Drosophila melanogaster: one gene and its partners. The protein of the gene in region 1 interacts with the protein of each later gene in a pairwise test. Each region holds a gene or a part of one and is shown in the gene's direction. Other genes may lie near its edges. The genes, in order: Syx6, meigo, CG18480 and Targ.

Region 1 (4,837 bases):
GCTCCCCAAAGTAGTCGATTTTTTTCTGTGGAACTCTCGTTGGCCGCGAAAATGGCATCACCCAGTGGAGATCGCACCACATATCGATTCTCCGAGGAGACGCCTGTTAGGGCTGCAAAGGGAAGACGAACTATTAGAAGCGATTTTAGCTAATTTTTGGGCTTGTACTTACCATCGTTAAGCTCAAAGGTCTGTTCAATATGTACGGACGGCAGATCTGCTAGGCAATCGTATCCGGAAAGTGGGATAAGCGTCCGGCTTCCCGTAACCGTGGCAATTGGCACTGGCAGCGGGATGCGTGGAGCCTCCGGCCTGGGTTGTGAGGTAATGCTGATATGGGAGTCATAAACTGAAGAAAAACAAACAAATCGTATATAGACCATTTTCCAATACGAGCAGAATCGTAAGGTTGTCCATATTGTTATCTTTGAACTAAGATTTTATAAACCTTTTCCATATCTTTAGGGTATTACAAACTTTTCCATAGATTGAATTTTGAAAGTTTTTAATATTTTAATTAAATTTAAATTTCATTTAAAGTTGTAGTTTTAAGATCATAATTTTACAGTGAATTTGAATTAAATAAAAATGGTTGTTGAACATTCTGCTAATAATAGCTCTGAGTAATAGCAATATTATTGAAAATATTTTGTGGTTATAACAAATCGTTTAGATTAAAACTTTAGTAGTTTTTCGATTTTTTCATAATCTTGTCACATAAATATTTTATTACTTTTCTTGGAATAGGAAAATGTTGGTATAGGATACAGCTAATATCATGGGTACGGTTTTACTATCGGATTGATCGCTGGGTTCGATCGTCCCAAACAAAGGCACTTGAGGAGTCGCAGACCATAACAAAACGCTGGCCGATAAGATATAGCCAACTTGTGGCCGCATTTTTGCGTCGAACTGTGTGACACACTCGCTCGCAACAATAATTAATCCGGTGCACTGCTTATCAGTTGGTAACAATTCGGTTACCCTTTTGCCAGGGTGATTCACTCGCTGTTTTTATTCGTTTTCTAAAGCCATATGCCCTAAATTACCTCTCGGTTCTGAGAGACTTGGCTGCTGGGCCACACGGATCTCACTGTCGTATTGCAAAGTGCGCACCGCGTTGTTTTGCAACATTTCGCCAGCACTTTTCAAACTTATTTGACGGCGGTCTAAATGAAATTGATAACGGTGGTCAGTGGGGCAGTAGCACAACGGAAGTTAAGTGCTTTGTGCCCCTCGCCTGGTCACACTTCCTGACTCAGATGATTTTAATACTCTATTACGAACGTTCTCATGTGAAATAGTAATAATAGCTTATTTATAGTGCTATTTTGTAAACTTTAATTCATGCGAATGTTGCAGGTTTTCAAAATATTCGTTTATGCTGCTCAAGCTGAATGTGGATAAATATATATTCAAATCCAGAGCTGCCACCTGATTCAAACTGTTTAGTAACGTATTTTCTGCACTTGCGATATATACTAAATTATCGCGGGATAAACGTGCTATCGCACTTGGGTCATACTAAGCCTTACGGTTTATTTTGCTAGCAGCAAAACAGAAATAAAACCTTTACTTAAATTTATTTATCAGAATTTGTCTCGTGTGAACTTGAAATTAAAGTCCGTCACCGTGTTCTCGGACCGAAGTTTGCTAAATGACGTGGAGACGAGCAGCAGGTGAGCGAGCGATGAAAATTGCAACAGTGCTGGCCATTTGGCCGACGATTTGTTGTTGTGGAATTTTTTGGCCAAAATTCGGGTTGTTTTCAAATCGGTTAGTCAAGGGGTTGGTAATCAAGGAACCAAAGTGCGCAGCCGCTGGAGCGGGAGCGGCGTAAACAAATGCCAGTGGGGTAGTGGTTCTCGGTGGGGGCTTAATCTCTGGAGCGCAAATAGCGACAGTGTTCTCTGGGCCATCGGTGGAACCAGCTAAGTCGGCGGAATCCACAAGAAATCGAGCGATAAGCGGCGGAGCGGGTCCAAGTGCAATAATCAATAAACGTGCTGTTCAAACATCGCTGCTAGGCGAAAGATAAAACCCAGTCGATTGTGAAATTCCTGCTATATAGAACGGATTGAAAGCAAAAATTTGCTCCCCATTTGCTTGCCTTTTGATGTAACTCCCACGAAGTGCTTTTGCTATTGCCAACTTGCAATTTGCCCCCTTGTACCTTTGGGGGGTGGTTTTCGCCCGGAAAAATCCATGAAAAGAACCGTCAAGTGCGCCACGCTGGTGAAAAACTGCTAGGAGTGTTAGTTTTCGTTTTGTGGCAAGAAGAGAACGCGGCATGTCTCTGGAGGATCCGTTTTTCGTGGTCAAGGAGTAGGTGTCCCCGATTTGGCAGATGGCCACATGCACTGCTGGTGGAAAGTGCTATCTTACTTATATCTCTGTTTTTTCTTTCATTTCCCTCCCCTTCCCCAACAGCGAGGTATTCAAAGCTCTGAACAAAACCCGCGGCCTCTATCTGCGTTGGCGGGAGCTGGGCGAGAACGGCGGAACGGAGGCTGAATGGACCACCACCGAGCTGCGTAACTCGCTACGGAGCATCGAGTGGGATCTCGAGGACCTCGAGGACACTATCAATATCCTTTTGCAAAGACCATTGAAAAATCAATTCGTTACCTGGTACTCATTTATCGAATTGCATTGTCTGTTTTATTTTCGCATAAAGAGGTTGAGATCCCATTTAAAATTGCTGAATATGCAATTTATTCGTGATTTAATTCGCTCGTTTATTAGTATTATACTAATAAACTGTACAGAACTTGTTTTTTTGGCACTATAATTGTAAAAAAAGAGTACTTGGTATCTTAAGGTCGGTAGAACCGACTTTCTAGCTCATCAGTCTCCTCGGTTTTCTCCTTAACCCATACCATTTTGACTCACACGCATCGTTGAGAAGAATCCAAGCAAGTTTCGGATCGACAACCGCGAACTCTCCAGCCGGCGCCACTTCATCGACAACACTCGCGATGAGGTCAAGCAGATGAAGGATAAGATGAGCCTGAACCGGAGCCGGGACAGAGACATCACCGCACACCAGCCGCTGCTCGACAACGATCGCCACAGCCCCAATCACAATCATTCCATTGCCATACCCAATTCGAATTCCAACTCCAACGAGTACCATCAGCATCCACACAACGATCGCACGTACCTCGTGGAGTGTCCCAACGGCAACTCGCTGATCAATAGCGGCAGTCAGGTGGCCAATACCATAGCTGGGACCATGTCGGCGGCAGCGGCAGCAGCATCCCGCCACAGCGGCACCAAGTACTCCAAGCTGGAGAACGCCCTGGACAGTCCCAGTCACTATGGGCAGACGCATCACGGCGGCATGGACAGTCCGAGTCATAGGTACGTGGGCGAAACAGTGTCCATACAGCAGCGTATGATCCAGGGACAGGATGAGCAGCTAGACATGATCAGCGATTCGATTGGTACCCTCAAGACGGTCTCGCGGCAAATTGGCGTTGAGCTCGATGAGCAGGCCGTCATGCTAGACGACTTTGGGAACGAGTTCGATACCACGGAGTCCAAGTTGGATACGACCATGAAGAAAGTTGCCAAAGTCTTGCACATGAATAATGGTGAGTGGTGCGGCACTTGTGGTATTCAAGGACTATTTTGATTGAAATATTAATGAAGAGTAAATGCTTCAGTGAACCACAATCAAAATTACCCATTGAATACTTTTGTGACTTCTGATTCCTAATTCTTAACTGTATCCATCTTCTTTCACAGATAAACGACAGTGGGCCGCCATTCTCATCCTATCCGGACTGTTATTGTTTGTGATAATTTTGTTTATTATTTTGTAATTGCTTTCGTTGTTCCCAAATCGTTTATATTTAGTGTAAATTAGATTTATTTATGACTTAGCTTGCTTTTGAATTCGGGCTCTTAATTACAATTCCATGTAAACTCCCTTGCTGTATATACACGGAAACATTTTAACCTGATTTATTACCAGCCGCCTCTCTCTATATATATATAATGTAATTCCAAAGCTACGGACAAATGATCATGTAAAGTCAATGTAGGCGGGTAATAAAAGATAACTAACTACTTACATATAAACCAAGTGCTCCAGAGTTCTGTCATTCCCAATTTGGCCAAAGGATACTGCAACTGTAAGCTGTATATACATCGAAGGATATATCTGCATATATATACATACAAACAAAATGGACCTACCAATATCAAACGAGTTATTTAACGAAGAGTCTTAGGAAATTTCACTAACCAAATCTAGCAAAAACTTGTATGCAATTGAGTAAATATATATACTTATAAATTAAATTCCTAATTTAAAGCCAAATGAGGTACTTCTTACGGGTCACCTAGAAATACTGTATGAGTGCACAGAGAGAAATTGTATACATATACAAAAATTTGTTCGCTATTTTGAAAGCCTAAATTAAACAAAAATTGGAAATACAAGCTTTCAAATTTTTTAATGTTTTTAAGGATAGTAGGATTAGTCAAGATGTTATCTTCTGATAGATCAATGATTTGGAAAATGGTATTTAATACCAAATTTTTCTCTGTGCACAAGGAGAGGGTATCAGGCCCCTTCTCATGTTCTCTCTGCGCCCCAAAACCACTCGACAGCCCACTCGATTTGCCCACTCACTCAGCTGTGTTGCATGCTTTTGCCCGGAGCTTTTTGGCGAGCTTACAGTCTGCGCACAGTGGCGCAACCAAAGGGGTATCTTCGAAAGGCTTGAAACATAACCCCTACGGGGAATCCGGACTACGCCACTGGGTCACAGCATAAGCACACGGGCAGAGCGGCACGTTTCCATGTGATGTTTTTCGGGTTTCGGCA
Region 2 (4,538 bases), on another chromosome or scaffold:
TGGTGGTTGACTCACTGGCCACATAAATATAGCCGCGACACGAGTCAAATCAATAGCCAGCGGGTCACGTTTTGAAGACACCCGCCCAGACGTGCGCCGTTCTTGGTGCGCTTTCTACCCCCACTCTCAGTCGCTCGACGTCCGCACTCAAAGCATGTTCAAACCAAAGAAACGTACAATTGCCATACTGTTAAGCAGGAATAGCATTATACAGGATTCCGCGAATGATTTGTGTAGCGGGCGTGAGGCTCCAGCTGCCAACAGCTCCGCCCACCTACAGCATTTATAGCTCCATCTTTCCGCTGAGACGAGTAATAGCTATAGATTTTATTTTCCTCTATCTCCGAATAGTTAACTATATCCTTGGATAACATTTCAGGGTCGTGGACTGACTGGACTGAAGAATCTGGGCAACACCTGCTATATGAACAGCATACTGCAGTGCCTGAGCAACACGCCTCAGTTGACCGAGTACTGCATTTCGGACAAATACAAGAATTACATCAGCAGAAGCAACAAGACTAATGGCCAGGTGATCGAAGAGGTGGCTGCACTCATCAAGGAGCTCTGGAATGGACAGTACAAGTGTGTGGCCAGCCGAGATTTGAGGGTATGCAACTGAAAAAAAAAAAACACCCAAATTTCTTTCTAAACTAAACATACTTCATTGCAGTACGTTGTGGGCCAGTACCAGAAGATCTTCCGCGGCGTTGACCAGCAGGACTCACACGAATTCCTCACCATCCTGATGGACTGGCTGCACTCGGATCTCCAGACCCTACATGTGCCCCGTCAGCGGGAGATGATCAGTGCGTCGGAAAAGGCTTGGCTGGAATTTACCAAGGCGAAGGAGAGCATGATTCTGCATTTATTCTATGGCCAAATGAAGAGCACTGTGAAATGTGTGGCCTGCCACAAGGAGTCCGCCACGTACGAGAGTTTTTCTAATCTCAGCCTGGAGCTGCCGCCAAACTCGAATGTATGTCAGCTGAACCAGTGCATGGACATGTACTTCAGTGGAGAAAGGATCCATGGCTGGAATTGTCCTAGTTGTAAAACGAAAAGAGATGCCATCAAGAAGCTGGATATATCGAAGCTGCCACCTGTGCTGGTGGTGCATCTTAAGCGGTAAGTGATGCTAACACTATGCTATGCTTGTTTATAATTTCTTAAATCCCGCATAGCTTCTATGCGGATCCCAGTAACTCTGGCTCGTACATGAAGAAGCAGAACTACTTGCGCTTCCCGCTCGAGAACTTGGACATGAATCCCTACATAGCACGGGCGGAATCGCGGGCGGTAACACCTAAGACCTACCAGCTGTACGCCGTATCCAATCACTACGGCACCATGGAAGGCGGGCACTACACGGCATTTTGCAAGAGCGCCAACTACGGAAAATGGTTCAAGTTCGACGATCAGGTCGTCTCGGCGTTGGACTCCTCTAACGTGGTTTCTAGCGCTGCATACATTCTTTTCTACACCTGGCTGCCACCCATGCAGGTGCCTCTGTAGACGCTTCGCTCGGTTTCCTTTCGGTTTTTACCCCTTTCGTTTTAATTGTTTTTTGTTTTTCTCTCATATTATAGCTTTTAAGGTCTAGTCGCCACACCCTTTTATCATTTACAAATTACCGCTTAACTGTTAACTGCTATTTAAGAGGATAATCGCTTGTTTGTTGTTGTCTAGGCTCTTAGAACAGTATTACGCGTGGGCGTATTTTCAATGGGTGCAGGCTGCATTCACTAAAACCAAGAACTTCAAGTGCATTACCAGTGTAACAAAGAGAAGCCCGCATATACGCCTGTGTATGCGGGACTATAGTTTATTGTATTTTGCAAATATATTTTAAAACCAAATAAACGAAATTCAATTTCTGATACAAAGAATTTCTTTGAAAGAATCATGCGTAGGGTTTTTAGAAAACAAATTGGGGAGAGCGGGTATTTTACACTCAACAAATAATATAAAAAAGGGGGTGAAAGTTATTTTACCATTGCAAAGAAAAATTCAGCTAATTTTCGCGCCGAAAAGTTCAATTCGAGATATCCGATAAGTAAATATATTCACTTCCAACTAACGGTCACACTGTAAAACGCCCCCGCTCTTTAGCAAATGCAGTGTTGCCAACTCTTGCTTTCAATAAATAGCTAGTTAGTTGATTTATCAATTATTACATTTATAGTGTTTTATGTATGCCCTATTTTTCATTTATAAAGAGTTATGATTTAAACTTATTAAATAAGATGATGAAATTGATGATTCAAAAGAAGAACATAGCTATAACAGTGCACCTAAAAAATGGCCAAAAATACAGGTGCTTGCAATCACTTAATCTAATCTGGCTAGTAGCCAGCTAAAGCGGCAGCACCGACCACGTATTTGATTGGATTATTTGATAGTCAACGCCAAATCACGGCACTGCAGCCGCGACTCCAGAGAATGCCAACTGTTTAGGATCGTGCATTAAGTCCGACTTAACCAATTCGCAAGTCACACGCTTTAAAAACCGTCATCTGCCCGCCATGAATCTGCCGGAACGCAGCCGTTTTGTGATCTACGCCGTCGGTATCTTCGTATGCTACTTCTTGTACGGAATTGTCCAGGAGAAGTTGACGCGGGGCCGCTACGGCGAGGAGGTACAGACAGATGGATCCGTGGGAGAGCGCTTCACTTACGCCTTGGCCCTTGTTTGGGTGCAGTGCCTCTGCAACTATGTGTTTGCCAAGGGTAAGGATTACGTGGACTTGTAACGAATCAATTCTGATCTGTGGTCTTCCAGTGCTGCTGACCATTAGGCCGCAAAAGGAGGACACCACCAACGCGGGCTCCTACGTGGCCTGTTCGCTGACCTATCTTCTGGCCATGGTCTCCACCAATATGGCCATGCGCTGGGTTCCCTATCCCACTGCTGTGGTGGGTAAATCCGCCAAGCCCATCCCCGTCATGATCCTGGGCGTGCTGATTGGTCGCAAATCCTACAGCTGGACGCGCTATGCTTGCGTATTGACCATTGTCCTGGGAGTTATTCTCTTTATGTACAAGGAGGGCAAGGTGTCCAATTTGCCGGCTGAGACCACGCTTCTCGGCGAGGTGCTGCTCTTCCTCAGTTTGTCAATGGACGGATTGACTGGAGCCGTTCAGGAACGCATCCGAGCGGCCAGCGCGCCTTCCGGTCAGCAGATGATGAGGGCCATGAACTTCTGGAGCACCCTGATGCTTGGCGTTGCCATGGTATTTACAGGTGAGTGTTAAAAACACTTTATTTGAGCTAAAAATATTGGCTAAGACCTTTTTATGTAAGCCCCATACGTTTTTATAAATGTTCTGAAAAACTATAAAAAAAATCTTCAGGTGAGGCCAAGGAATTCATGTACTTCACCATCCGACATCCCGAGGCGTGGACCCATTTATCGCTGATAGCTGTGTGCGGCGTGCTCGGTCAGTTCTTCATCTTTCTGATGGTGGCCAGCTTTGGACCTCTGGCCTGCTCCGTGGTTACGACGACGCGAAAGTTCTTTACCGTCCTGTGCTCCGTTCTGCTGTTCGGAAACGTCCTGATTGCCCGCCAGTGGCTTGGAGCTGTCCTGGTGTTCGCCGCACTCTTTGTGGACATGCTGTACGGCAAGAAGGCGCCACTGGCTACGGCCAAAAAGCCGCCAGTCGAGGGAAAGCTATCCGAGGAAAAGAAACTGAATTCGTAGAATTTGATAGATGATTGCATAGCCCTATGTACTGTACATACACAAATTAAGAAGACAATGCTTCCGGCTCGAGCGGCTGCAGCGCCAAAGTTTCCCCATTTCCTAGAACTGCTTATCGTACAAAGGATTCTAGCTATAGCGAACACAGCATTCGATACTTGATCTGCAACCCATAGACCGTCGTTTAAGTTAATTAAATTATTGATATCTATTAGAAAAGGAACAAATATTGTGCAAAAGTTTACACCAGACCTGCGGGTCTCTAACATACAGGATCATTCAATCATTTAATGCTACAATTTATAATTAAAACGTGCTCTTTTATTAATGGTTGTATTATTTATATGGAACGTTACTAAGAAGGCCTAACAAAGGCAACTTATTTTCTGGCTCAGTTTAATAAATATTTTCCCATTTTTTTTTGTATTTTCTTTAACTTGAATTTAAAGCGCTTAAATCAGAGCTGCCACCTTACACGAAATGTGAACTACGTTCATAGGCAAAAGTAAGATGCTATGAAACTCGAGTTCCAAGATAAAATATCAATTTCGTGTTATACTGAAATAAGATTTAATATTGTGTTAGCTACTATATAAACCGTAATAATATGAAAAAAAGACTACACAAATTAGTTGTATCGATACCGCGACGAATCAATTGGCAACAATCGATAGGATCACTTTGCCGACCCTGGCAACTCTAGTTTATTGCCGTAGCCGTTGCAGATACGGTCGAAATTTTCAGAATGTTTTTAAAATGTATAAATCCAGTGTGCGCAATGCTAATTATACAATAAACTAATCGGGACGAAAATTTCCGAAAAATAAAAGAACG
Region 3 (7,319 bases), on another chromosome or scaffold:
TCAGACATCTCCTTAAGGGCATCTAATTCTTTTCCCCACAGGCATACAAATTGTCGCCTTGAAACATTGTACTTGTAGTCCCAAACATTTCTTGGGTTTTAGTAAGCAAACAATTGTTTTACAAAACATATAAATACAATAAAAGTAAATTAATAATGTATATTTTTGATTAAGTGATGTAATCCAGATCATATGCAAGACTATTCGTCCATATAAATACATATGATATGACTTGATTTTTTTTTTTTTTTGGCAGTGAGCTGCCCAGCAAGTTATTAAGAACCAGATCACCAATTTTTTTATAAGCTTACGAACAGCTTTTGGAAGTGCTTCAGGCACCCACCGTTTTCTGGGAAAATTCGCATTTTTGCTGTATTTTATATAACGAGGTATCTTATCGCTAATCAATCACAAGTAGTTCTTAATAATTTTGCGATAATTAGCACTACATTAGCCGTTAATTCGATTTAATTCAGTCAAAAATGATTCGTGTCTGGTTTCAGTTGTTCCTGCTGGGCACTCTGTGCTCTGGCATATTCCCAGCCCCCTTTAATACCCATTATGATGAAACAGATCCAGAGCTGACTGCAGGATACTTCCAGGGTGATATGGATGTGGACTACGCCCGGAATGGACAGCTATCCGAGACACGACGCTGGCCAAACGCCACAGTTCCGTATAGGATATCTGAGGAGTTTGGTAAGATACGCATTGGATGGTTAATTTCCAAAACTAATTTTATTTACAATTTTACTTTTCAGATGCTCCTCATGTGGAATATATAAAGCTTGGCATGCAATTCATCGAGTATTCGTCTTGTATTCGATTTGTGCCTGCTGATGAGGATGAGGAAAACTATCTTTTTGTGCTTCCGTCCACTTCAGGATGCAGCTCCAAAGTGGGCTATCAGCCAGGTGAAAGAACTGTCAAACTAAAGCCTGGCTCATTGGATACAGGTTGCTTTAAGCTGGGCACCATCCAACACGAACTGCTCCACACTTTGGGATTCCACCATCAGCAGTGCTCCCCGAATCGAGATGAGTTCGTAAAGATCGTGGAGGAGAACATTTCCGAGGGTCACGAGAAGAACTTTGTCAAGTACGAAGAAGACGAGGTGGGGGATTTCGATCAGCCGTATGACTATGGAAGCATTCTACACTACAGTTCCTTGGCATTTTCTATAAATGGGGAAGCGACAATTGTGGCTCTGAATCCAGAGGGTCAGGAGCAAATGGGACAGCGCTTGATGATGAGTGACACCGATGTCAAACGACTTAATACCATGTACAAGTGTCCGATTCAATTGTAAAAATAGCAATAAACTTGAAGGTCAAAAAGGCCTATAAATTTTAAAAACTTTTTGACTTTTTTTCAGTTTTATACAATAAAATTCTCAGTCATTGACTTATGCTCCGGCTTTTTTTATCATTTGGCCTGACTACGGAAATTATAGGCACTAAAATAAGAGATTATTTAACACTCGATTCTGCAAGCGTGTTAACTGATTAATTTCATCGCTTAGATTAAACAAATAAGTATATATAAACATCAAGAAAAGTATCCAAAAAGTTGATGATAAGGAAATGGCAAGCAACTAATTTAACCCAAATTTTATAGCTCTGCATTTTCCAAACAAATGAAAGTCCGAAACTTGGCGCTCTTTCATCGAAACACGAACATAGCCGCATCAGCTGATTAGATAATAAAAAAAAACGCTTATCTTATCTGCAGTGGAAGTGTAGAGCACAAGCCGAGCACATTCATAATCGGATGAAATTCGTTCTTTAATATTTTGACGGAACCCAGTAAATGTAAGGTAACTCACCATTGGAAAGCAGCTCAACTGTTAGTCATGAAGTAAGTGGAGAGACGAGTTTTGAACACTCAGTCAGTCCAGAACTACCAAGCATTCCCAAACCAACCATCTCGAAAATGGCGATGAAGTGTAATTGAGAAGGTTCCTTCCAGTCGTTACGAATAGTATTCAGCTTATGGCTCTGCAATGTGTCACAAAACCCAAAATGTGGTTGGGCCTTAAGCAGATACTTCTCTATGTAGGCCTGTTGCTCTGCGTTCTTCTGCAGGTCTGCAGAAGCAAGACCCAGTCGCAGATGTTTTGCCCCACTGTTTGCCACTGTGATCTACACGCCCAGCGCAATCGCGCAGTATGCAGGTGAGTTGTCATCGGATTTGGGGAATTATTTCGGTTGAGTTATATTATATATATTTCTTTGTGCAGCGCAAAGCGCTTGATAAGCGCCAATATAGAAATACCTACAACGGTTGAGCTGTTGGACCTGAGCTACAATGATATAACCACCATTGACGATGACTCCTTCAAAGTAAGTCATCAAATGGAAAAGATTAGTGACACCAATGTTTTTGTTTTCCATGATTTCCTAGACACATATACTGCTTAACCAAAAATAATTATTTTTACTCTATTGTGTTTCCTGCAGACCACAATCCACCTGCTTAATCTTACGTTGGCCCACAACGCGATACACACACTTTATGGGGATGCCTTTGTGGAGTTGACCAGACTACGCTACTTGGATCTATCGTACAATCGCCTGGAGCAGATCGATGAACATATCCTGGAATCCAACAACCAACTGATCCACCTTAATTTGGAAGGCAACAAGTTGTCCACATTGGGAAAAGGACCTATATTAAGAAGTCCATCGCTACGCTCTCTCAATCTGCGCAACTCGCAGGTAAATCAACTTGGAACCCAGCTTCTGAGTGCCTTGCCTCAATTGCGCCAACTGGATTTGGCACAGAATCTACTGTTAACCCTGAGTCCTGGAGATTTTCATGCACCCCGCAATCTGGCGTCACTGAATGTTGAGGAAAATCCCTTCAACTGCGATCGGGCGTTAGCCAAAGTGGCCACTGGATTGCGACAGCGCGGAGTGGCTATTTTCATGAGCAACTGCATGGAAGAAGAGGTTCAGGATCACCAGGACGATGCGGAAGCTGTGAATTTTCCTAATAAAAACGAGAAGTTCGAAAGCATGGAGTACTTGGAGCCCAGCACCCGAGGACCCCAATCCGTGCTGTCCGTCTGGCGGGATCTGGACTCCAGTGAGGAGCAGAACAGCTCGCAGGACGACGAGCAGATGTCATCGCTAAGCGATGTGTGTGAGGGAAGTCGGGAGAAACTGTGCCTAAGATACCGCATTTGCTTGGAGCGTGTGAGTCATGAACTCCTGGCTGGCGGAAACTCCCAATTGGAAGATGAAATCATACGCACGCACACCTACGATGAGGATGATTTGAAGCTGGCCTTTGTGGTGGGCGGTGCCACGGGCGTTTGCATGGTCATCTTCATCATTACCTTTGCCCTGTGCCTCAAGAGTTGCTGTGAGATGCGCAAAAAGAAAAGTAACCCGGAAGTGGCCACTGGGGTTTCAGGTAGGTCTGCCCAATTATGTGATTGACCAATATTTGACAGAGTTTTCCCTTGTTTGTTTCCCCCAGCTCCTCTGAACCCTTCGCAGGATAGCCTACCCACTATACACACCTGGTCACCACAGCGTACGCGCAACCCCAGGCGCTCTAATCCCCAGCGTCCCCGTAGTACTCAATCGCATGCCGTGGTTCGACAACCCTACGGACCGCAGGACAACTTCGTGTCCCGGCTCTTTGGTCGTCCGGCCCGCAGTCAGTACTACCGGACCATCAATCAGAATACGGCCACCCTCATAAGGCGCCTTAGTCGGAGTAACCTCTTCACCAGTCGCGACCGGGAACCGAGTTCCCCCGCCGAACCGCCAACTTCTACGGCCAGATTCTACACGGATGTGATTGAAAGTGGGGCGATACGACCGGAGACACCGCCTCCAAACTACGGCGATGTGGTGGTCATCGAGAATTGTGATAACAAGTGAAGGGAGTATCTTTTTAATATAGCCAAACATTCGTATAAGCTAAAAGTAATCTAAGTTATCGCTCTTCTCGACCTCAATTATTTACTATTCAAATCTATATGAGATAATTACAAATTTAAAGTCTAATCATTTATATTGGCAAAATATAAAATGTCATATTTCAAATCAACATCAACTATCGCAGTCGTCATAGCTGTTTACTAAATATTTATTAAGAAAGTCTACTTCATGCACTTTTTATTGGCAACATAAAATTATGTTTGTATTCAAAATATTTTCTTAGCCTACTACTATTTTAAGTACAACATGTAATGCACTTAGCCCCCAAACGATATTTTAGAGAGCCCACAACATGGCGGCCAAAATGCCCTTGAAAACTTCAATGTTTCCTCATTCTCATTTTACACACAAAAATATCAATTGGGGAATTCCAGCATTTTTGCTTCTCGTTTTGGATAAGCATTACTTTTACAAGACTTGGACTTGCAGCTGCAACAAATCGCAATAAAAACTTTTGACAAAACTATCAAAGTTGGCAACGTTGGGGGGAATGTGGGGATGGGGCATGGCCAACTGTGAAATTGCCACAGGAAAATCCCCGAAAAATTCAAGTAGCAAAAGTTTACACACTCAAATAAATGCTGAAACGCGAAAGAAGATGGGTCCTTTTAGGCCCCCCGTCCCCCAATCCTTCCCTGCAGATAAATCGAAAACACCACAAAGGAAAATAAAACCGCACAAAAAATGCCATAAGAATAAAACTCAAAAAAAGAACGACAAACCCAACAATTTGCACTGCAAAGCGGCAAAAGTGTCTCCAAAGAAACAACCACACAACCCCGACCAGATACGGAAAAAGAATAAATATATATAGGGAAAGAAAGAAGGTCCAAGTTATGTTGCAATGGGTAAAAAAAAAATCATGTGGCAAAAACGGCATGTGGCAGTGCACTGAACTACGAGGTATCTTCATACAATTTAATAAAAAAAAATATTTACAAACATAATTTATCAAATTGAACATTTACCTATATGAATTGGTTGAAAAAGAAATAACTAAAGAATTTTGATTATTGCTTAAATATCTTTGAAATGGTTATTATGAATAGACGTGTTATGAATCCGTCAATATTCAAATTAGAAAAACTTGTAAATATTATTTTGCATTAAAAAAAACCTTTTTACAGCATTTTCCTGGACTAAACGGCATTCGAAATCATTGTGCGTTTTCCTTTAATTCATTCTCCATTTGCCAGATCACTTGTGAAGCAAATTTGCTGCGCGGCATCTTTGTGGGTTCTGTTGTTAAGTGTTTGTCTAGCTATCTATCTATCTATCCAAACGTATCTGTGTTTTGTGGTGCCAACTTTCATTGCACTGAGCCCGGCGCTGCAGCACACTGTGGTGCACAAAAGTTAACGTATCCTGGGACCAAAGTTGCGTTGTCAACAACCAAAACGCAGGAAAAAAGCGGATTTGGGAAAAGAGCTGTGAGGAAATGAGGAGCCCAAATCGAGGAAGCTTGGCGAAAAAATGCTCGCACCAGGAGGGCTGAGGAAGCAGAGTTGCAGAGCGTGAAAAAATATCTAAATCCAACATTAATGAAAAACTTTTTGCATAATCCACGATGAAGCTGGCGGTGGCAAAAGCAGCAAACCAAAATCAAACCCCCATTTCCCCCAAAGGAAATGCAGCCAAGCGGAGTAGGAACTCCCCATCGAGTGAATAAAATGCAATATAAGAGGGCCAGGATAACAAAGCAACAGATTCCGCCGGGAGGTGGTGGTTGAATGGGATTTTTGAGGCATTGAAGGACATGGCAAGCGGCTTAAAAGGTGCTGAAGGTTACCCCGAAAGAAAGTAGTAAGTGATGAGATGGCTCAGACTTTAGGATTCTGGAGGCGAAAGTTGCACTAAATCTAAGCCATGGTTCGAAAACCTATGGAGCTCGATATGAAAGGGAATTGGCGTAAGAAAAACTGATTGGAAAATGGTTGAGAGTAGATCAAAGGGGTGAGGTGTCCTTTGAAAACAAACCTTTACGACCGGTCGGGTCATTTGCCTTGGCGATTCATTTCAAAGCATTACCTACATTAAGGTTATTTGATTGGTTAGATTTATTTTCGGTCACATAGCTTTATAACTTGAGATAAGATTGATATGTTTTAATATGTGTATTATAAATAATTCGCCTTTCAATTGGCACCACACCATTTTTTAAGAAAACCAATTATATCTCCAGTTTCACCGACCAACCAAAATTCAGTACAAATCAAGTTTCCGCTTTCCAATTGCACTGCCATTAGTCTGTACATCTCTATTTCATAAGTTTCAGTTACTTGTGATTTGTTTATGGAGTGTTAAGCGCTACATGGCTATTTGCCAGCACTTTTACCGCTGCAGAGTAAATAAATTAAATTCGTATTTGCTGGCATTCGGTGCGGCGCATTTCGCCCCTGGGTTCGGTGTAAAACTTTCAGGAGGTGCCGGACATGGTCGCCGTGTCCCCTGTAACTTTCTATCTATCCTCTGCCGACTGCTTGCCGTGTGTTGCAATAACAAACTCATGCTAATTGCTTTGCTAACAACTCGCAGGAACAGCAACAGCAGGAACTTGGACTTGCACTGACAATAAGAGGGCAGAAAGCGCAGCTACGACAATAAATATCAGCAGGAACTGGCAAGGAGCTGGCTAAAAGTCCTGGCTACCTTTAATTACGGTTTCGCAGGACACCGGACCACAGTTTAGCACACTCACACAAGCTGCTAACTAGTTGCACATGGCCCAGATACACTCATGACACGATTGACCTCTTGGCTTTGGGATGTTGCAGGTGCGACATACTCAACGCTTCAAGCTACTGAACTCAGCACTGCGAGAAAATAACTTACGAAGGATACATAATTATTTTAATATGCGTTTTAGGAAAGTGTTTTAATGATGTATATTTTATTTTTTATATATTGGAGTAACCTATTCTGTGTGTGAAAAAAAGTTTTTAAAGTTGAAACTTATCTTATAGAACAAATTGATTTTCATAATCAATAAATATGACTACTATTTAAATAATTCGAGCTAATTGTAGATAAGCTTTCTTTCCGTGTTTCTTCTCCTCTGCTTTATAGAATTTGCACACGAACTTGCGATAATTGCTGGGAAATGAAATAAAAATGCAATTAAACCCAGCGATGTTGCAGAGCAGAGGAGCTGGACCTCGTTGAAATGAGCATTCAATTAAGCGGCATCCAAGGAGCTGCGAGAGCGTGTCCTGGAATGGGTGTGTCCCGCTTTCGGTGTCCGTCCTTTGGCCTGCCCGTCTGTCAGGGGCATGCACATTTGACGGCGACATCGTCGAGGGCGTTTACTAAATGATTTTTATCTTTATCAAATTAGAAAACGACAACGGCAAGCGAGCCCAGCCGATC
Region 4 (5,643 bases), 3.4 Mb from region 1:
ATTTCTTATTGGCGCACCTATCGTCCGAGTGGGCAAAGCGTCGGTCGACCTGTGACAGAGCCAGAAATTGTGACTTCACTAGTCCCTTCACCTCATTAAGAAGCTGCGGGCGAAGTATTGATGAACTTTTGGCCAGAAACATAACTAAACGGAGGTTTTGGATTGGAACCGGTGCTGTGGCAGGTTGAGAGACACGAAATTTTGGTCTGTACAGGCGAACGCTCTGCTTTGATCTGGCTAACACCAAGGTGCTGAACCAATAGTTGGCAAGAAATCTAGTCCAAGGCCGCCATGATGGGATCTATTTTATTTACATTTCAACAGCTACTTCTCTATGGATTCCAGATTTAAGTGTGTAATTCCTCGAATACTGTCGCGAATTGAGCCTTTTCCGGGCCACGGACCAAATGGGTTTTCCTTGTTTGTTCTGCAGTTAATTGCGAATGGATTCGATGCCAGCGAATTTGCAATGTCCAGCTGCCTTGATTTGCAGGCAAATAACAATAAAGAAAAAATAGGCAACGCAACCTTCACTTTACGAATTTTTGCCCCAGCTTGTTTGCAAGTTAAATGCAAACAGAGTGCAGCCAGCCAAACGACAAAGCCCAACAAAAAAAAAAAAAAATAAAACAGAACGAAAAATATACATACAAAGCTGACCCCCTGCGAAAAAAAAAACAACAGAAGTCCACTAGAATAAGTATACGCCGCGTTGGTCGCCGCTCGCTGCTTGCTGTTCTCGGGGCAGTTTTCGCTTTTACGCCGCTATTTTCATTGGAGTCACTGCCGTCCGAGAGTGGCCATGCATGAGGGCTCCCATAAAATTGGGTCAATTGCTGTTAACAATTTGGCAGCGCAATCTTTTGGCCGTTTCGATTTCAAGGCGCTCAGGGGAAAAAAAATCGAAAAATAGGAAAACACAACGTGGGCCATAAAAAACGAGCACGTACGAGCGAACCTTTTGGAAAAAAACAATTTCCGCATAGAGTTGTTGGCCAGGAAAAATAGCCGCTGCAATCGGTGCTCCCCCGCGGGAGAACAGGAAAAATCCAGGGGGGGGGGAAGGTGTAGATGAAGCTGAAGTGGCTGGTCGAAAAGTTTGCTGGCCTTTACGCTAATTAATTAGTGCACTTTGTTTGTAATTCATTTTGCAAAAGCAGGGCTGGCTTAGTTAAAGTTTCCAGGGGCGAGGTTTGTTTCATAAAGCATGGACCGACTGCCTCCAATTCAAGAGCCCGGGCATCACTTTCCATTTAATCAACTGGGGAAACAGTCGACCCCAATACTTCAGCTCTTGTTGCCTTTGAGTGACTGCCAATGAAGTTACTGCCCCTAAAGCTGAGATGCACTTTAGCCGCTCCACTCCAATCGCTCCGCTCTCCGTGCAAAACTCAGACGACTAAGGAATGATTTCATTTACTTACAATCAATGAAATTGCACTGATGCAATTTTGTTTCGGCCCCAAAATAAACAGGCAAGCGGGTGGAACGGAGCTGGGATCGGGTTGTGGCAATAGGGATTCGCCAGGCAAAAGAAGATGGCGATGGCGAGGCGATGGCTAAAAAGTAACAGTTGCAGTGGGGCAATTGCGGAGGAGGAGCAACTGGGGGTCACCAACAAGCAACTACCAACCAACTCCGTTTGTCACGCTCGCCTGGCAGCCATGACAGCATTTGGTAGCCAGGAGCAGCTAATGTCTGGCGACAGTTCCCGAATCCCACGAATCCCCATGAATTCCCGTTCCTGTTGCTGGGGCTTCTCATCTTGCAGCCAGACACGTAGCCAGCCACTGTGCATTGGGTTCGGGTCGAGACGCAGAGAGATTTGTGAAAGATGTCAGGAACACTCTGCGACAGAGTCGAAAAATGAGCAGGAATCGTAGGCGAAGGTGACTGAGTCTGTTCGCCCAGCAAAGCACTCAACTCGACCAAATCCCTCTGTTTTTCAGCTTCCCCAGCAGCCAATATGAAGATAAGACCGCCGCTGCACAGCCAAGTGGAAGTAGCTTGAGATCCCAATCTCTGTCCAGGCTGGACATCTCGGTTCAAAACTCATCCATCTATTACAATGATACGCGAAACACGCGACCACAAATGGTCAGTGTGGCCGTCGGCACAGTTTCAACGGATATCCTGAATGGGCGCACATCATTCTTGTCCCTTAGTCAGTCTCACGGGAGTGAAGTGGATTTGCCTTCGTTCTACGAAAGCTTTAATCCAACTTTTCTTCCCAAGCTGCCTATCAGAAGATTTCCCCATATGCTTGTGGGGGCATCAAATGAGCCTGAGATTTCGAAAAACCAGCCAGCAATTCCACCATCTAGGCCAATTGAGCCAATATCTGAGGTGCCGTTTGTGGAACCGGCCTTTGAGAAAAAATACTCTAGGACCCGTGGATTTAGCAAGGAATTGTCCACACACAGGGATAATGAGAATGAATATATCGAGAGCACAGATGAGGTGTCTCAGATGTTGAGCTTTACTAGCTATACGGATGAATATGATAGGGCAGAACCACTCATTACCAAAACGCAAAAGTTTTATAAAAAGAGTAAGTTATCATAGCGCTGCCTTCCTTTTTACAAAAATGTTTTTTTTTTTATTTTTATTTTATTGTCATGCAATTGAATTTTGTCTAAGCTATTTTTGGCCATTTGCTTGAAATTGAGGAACCTACCAAATGCATTTCTTGTAGCTAAAACTGTAGCCTTCTTACAGGATCCCCCTTGATTCCCAAATACGATTCCGAGGATTCATATGTGGTCCCTAAGGAAACCGATCAACAGGAATCGGGTCTCTCGTTCAATGTAACTACAGTACAGTTGGCCGATACCGCATCGCCGGAATCTTTCAGCGAATACGACGGAAATCGAACGCGCAAGCAATCGTTCGACATGGAAAGTAAAAATTCGAAGGAGTCCTTTGACTTTAGCCGTGGTGGAAGACGACTTGGCTCCGGTATGGTTTTTGTAAGTGAGTGAATAGCATTCTTGTGGTGGTGAATTGAGAAACGAATGACGACTCTTGTCATCCACAGATCTATATGGTGATACCACCGGACGGCGGATTCGGTTGGGTAATCATGGTGCTGTCCTTCCTCGCCCAGCTGATAATCGATGGTTTAATTTTTACCATTGGGGTCTTATTGCCATCCATTGCCCAGGATCTGGATGTCTCCATATCGTCGGTATCGTTTGTGGCCAGTGTCCAGATTGGTTGCTACTTCACTAGCGGAGCGTTTTCTGCTGTCCTGATAAATCGTTTTGGTTTCCGAAAGGTAGCCATCGCTGGGGTCCTGTGTTCCGCAGTTTCAATACTGGCGTCCAGTTGGAGCGTCAGCTTGACCATGCTGATCTTCTTTTACAGCGTCCTTGGTAGGTTGATTCTAGATTGCTGTACGATATTCGATGAATAATAGTACTAGCCTGCGCAGGTGGTATTACGTTGAGCATGATCTGGGCAAGTTCGCAGCTGATTGTTGGCTACTACTTTGAGCGGTACCGTCCGATGGCCAATGGATTTTCCTGCAGCGGTGGCGGTGCGGGCATAGTACTCTTCACGTTCCTCAACAGCTGGCTGGTGCCAATCATCGGATGGAGGAACATGCTGCGGACGCAGGCGGGGCTGATAATGTTGATCCTGTTGATGGTGGTCGCCTATGTGGAGGTGGCTCCCACCCAGGTGGGCATGTACCATTTACCCGGTTCTTCGGATACCAGTTCGGATGAGTATTACGGCAACTTCTACGTGCATGACTATTTACGTCAATCCGCGATGACTGCTAAAAGCCGGAGTATCCTAAGTACATATGAGCCACGCCCAAAAAAGAAAGGATGCGCCAAGTTCTGCCCCTCCTGTTCGAACTGTTGTTGGAGGCGGCGGAAGAAGTCGCAAAATGCTGATGAGCAGAATCTGCTCATCCGCCCGGCGCCCCTGGAGCGGGAGGATCTCTTCTATACGGGTCCTGCCGAATACGAAAAGCCGCACAGCAAGGAGAACGTCGACGGCAAGGAGTTCCTACTAATGGGATCGGATAAGAACGTAAGTGTTGTATTAAGAATAAATTCGCTTCAACTTAAGAACACCACCAACTTTCACTTAGACCCAGCAAGTGAACTATGGCATCAAGAACATTCGTGTGGATGATGAACCCGATAGGATTTCTAGAGTTCATAGGGAACGAAGATGGTCAAACGAGAATCAGAAAAAGCAAAATTCCTGTAGGAATAGCCGGTTTATGCTCACTGTGCTCAAACTATTCGACTACCGCCTGCTGAAACAGTTTGAGTTCAAGATTCTGGTGGCGTCCGCCTTTCTGTTCCCGATGGGCTTTAATATACCCTTTGTTTACTCGTCTGCACGAACCACGATCCCCGTCGAATATGCCCGTATGATCGGCCCCATTATCGGAATTAGTAATCTTGTGATGAGAAACATCCTTGGCATCCTCGCTTACAAAAGGCGTAGTTGGACCCTCGGACTTTGTGGTTGTGGTCTAATTTTCGGTGGTGTTTCCGTTTTGATTAGCGCCTTCTATGGAGAGAACTTGATTTGGTTCCAGTTTCTGTATGGCTTCTCCTATGCTGTAGCGCCTGGTGCGTACATTTACTTACCTTACTTAAGTTTACAATATTACCCTCTCTCATTTCCATGGAATAGCTGTTTATTCCACACTGAGAGGTTTGATATACGTGAAATACCTGGGACTTTCAAAACTGACCAACGCTTTTGGGATTACCTCATTGGCCATGGGAATGGGCGCCTTTATTGGGACTACAATTGCTGGTAAATTGATAGGCATCACGGGAAACTATTCTGCTGCCTTTTGCTTTGCGGGATTATGTCTCATAGTGTCCGGATTTCTGAAGCTTCTGCTGCCCTTGCTTATTAAATGTCGCAACAGGATGGCCCAATGAGGAATTGGACTATTGGAATTGCAATATTTATTGGTTCTCCTGCTTGGAACTTGGGATTGTCTTACAACTAATAGCTTAGGCATTTTTATGACTTTTTTTTACTGGTCCTCGTTCCAAATTCTGAGTAAATGTTTGTATATCCATGTAATTGTTAATTGACCGATGTCATTAACTATTACTTCCTCCTTATTACAGATTTATTTTCAATATAATTTCAATTCAAGTGAGTTCTTTTTGGGGTTGACTTTTATTGCAATCCATTTTAAGTTATTAGTTAGCTTAGTTTACATCTAATATTAGCTTAGTTGCTGAACAACACACTTTGGCTCCACGCTTATAGGTTCAAGTGTGCTGTGTTTGGTTTTTCATTTGGTTTTGTTTCCATTTTTCCTTGTTTGGGTATGCAAATTTTCACGCTTCTTGTTTACTTTGATTTGCTTTCTAAACTTTGTACGTCTACTGTTCAATGTTTTGTTTTTTTTTTCTTCATTTTTTATATTTTATGATGATTTTTTTACATATTATTTAGAGCTAAAGCAACGAAAAAAAAAATATAAATCAATGTGAACACATAAACATAAGAATGTTTGAATCGACATCCGCAGGACGAATGACTCCAATCCTCTGTGTCCTGTGTCTAAATCTTTCTTGTGTTTTTTAATATTGTCAGTAGTCTTCCCCATCGTCGCCTCTAATTTAATCCATTTTTAATTGAAGTCTCTGCCGT

What was found.
Region 2: the proteins of Syx6 (region 1) and meigo interact in a two-hybrid assay, tested with the Drosophila melanogaster proteins (one large-scale study listed by BioGRID).
Region 3: the proteins of Syx6 (region 1) and CG18480 interact in a two-hybrid assay, tested with the Drosophila melanogaster proteins (one large-scale study listed by BioGRID).
Region 4: the proteins of Syx6 (region 1) and Targ interact in a two-hybrid assay, tested with the Drosophila melanogaster proteins (one large-scale study listed by BioGRID).

What each region holds. Positions count from the first base shown.
Region 1 is NT_033778.4:11,218,034-11,222,870, forward strand, and holds Syx6 (syntaxin 6), read left to right. Parts: upstream 1-1,900; 5' UTR 1,901-2,290; coding exon of another isoform or gene 2,291-2,325; 5' UTR 2,326-2,347; coding exon 2,348-2,588; intron 2,589-2,894; coding exon 2,895-3,596; intron 3,597-3,750; coding exon 3,751-3,827; 3' UTR 3,828-4,305; downstream 4,306-4,837. Other genes in the region: CG9084 (uncharacterized protein), read right to left, coding at 1-130, 173-349, 1,050-1,134.
Region 2 is NT_033777.3:21,136,336-21,140,873, forward strand, and holds meigo (medial glomeruli), read left to right. Parts: upstream 1-1,934; 5' UTR 1,935-2,153; intron 2,154-2,219; 5' UTR 2,220-2,525; coding exon 2,526-2,730; intron 2,731-2,782; coding exon 2,783-3,244; intron 3,245-3,354; coding exon 3,355-3,704; 3' UTR 3,705-4,030; downstream 4,031-4,538. Other genes in the region: Usp8 (ubiquitin specific protease 8), read left to right, coding at 380-610, 674-1,128, 1,185-1,515. UniProt on the Drosophila melanogaster protein: Probable sugar transporter.
Region 3 is NT_033779.5:15,628,202-15,635,520, forward strand, and holds CG18480 (uncharacterized protein), read left to right. Parts: upstream 1-1,881; 5' UTR 1,882-1,991; coding exon 1,992-2,173; intron 2,174-2,239; coding exon 2,240-2,342; intron 2,343-2,459; coding exon 2,460-3,417; intron 3,418-3,483; coding exon 3,484-3,893; 3' UTR 3,894-6,786; downstream 6,787-7,319. Other genes in the region: CG7631 (uncharacterized protein), read left to right, coding at 483-699, 762-1,309.
Region 4 is NT_033778.4:14,666,550-14,672,192, forward strand, and holds Targ (tarag), read left to right. Parts: upstream 1-1,841; 5' UTR 1,842-1,866; coding exon 1,867-1,889; intron 1,890-1,898; exon of another isoform or gene 1,899-1,949; coding exon 1,950-2,551; intron 2,552-2,718; coding exon 2,719-2,969; coding exon of another isoform or gene 2,970-2,973; intron 2,974-3,037; coding exon 3,038-3,374; intron 3,375-3,424; coding exon 3,425-4,041; intron 4,042-4,102; coding exon 4,103-4,595; intron 4,596-4,659; coding exon 4,660-4,916; 3' UTR 4,917-5,126; downstream 5,127-5,643. Other genes in the region: CG12860 (uncharacterized protein), read right to left, coding at 1-142.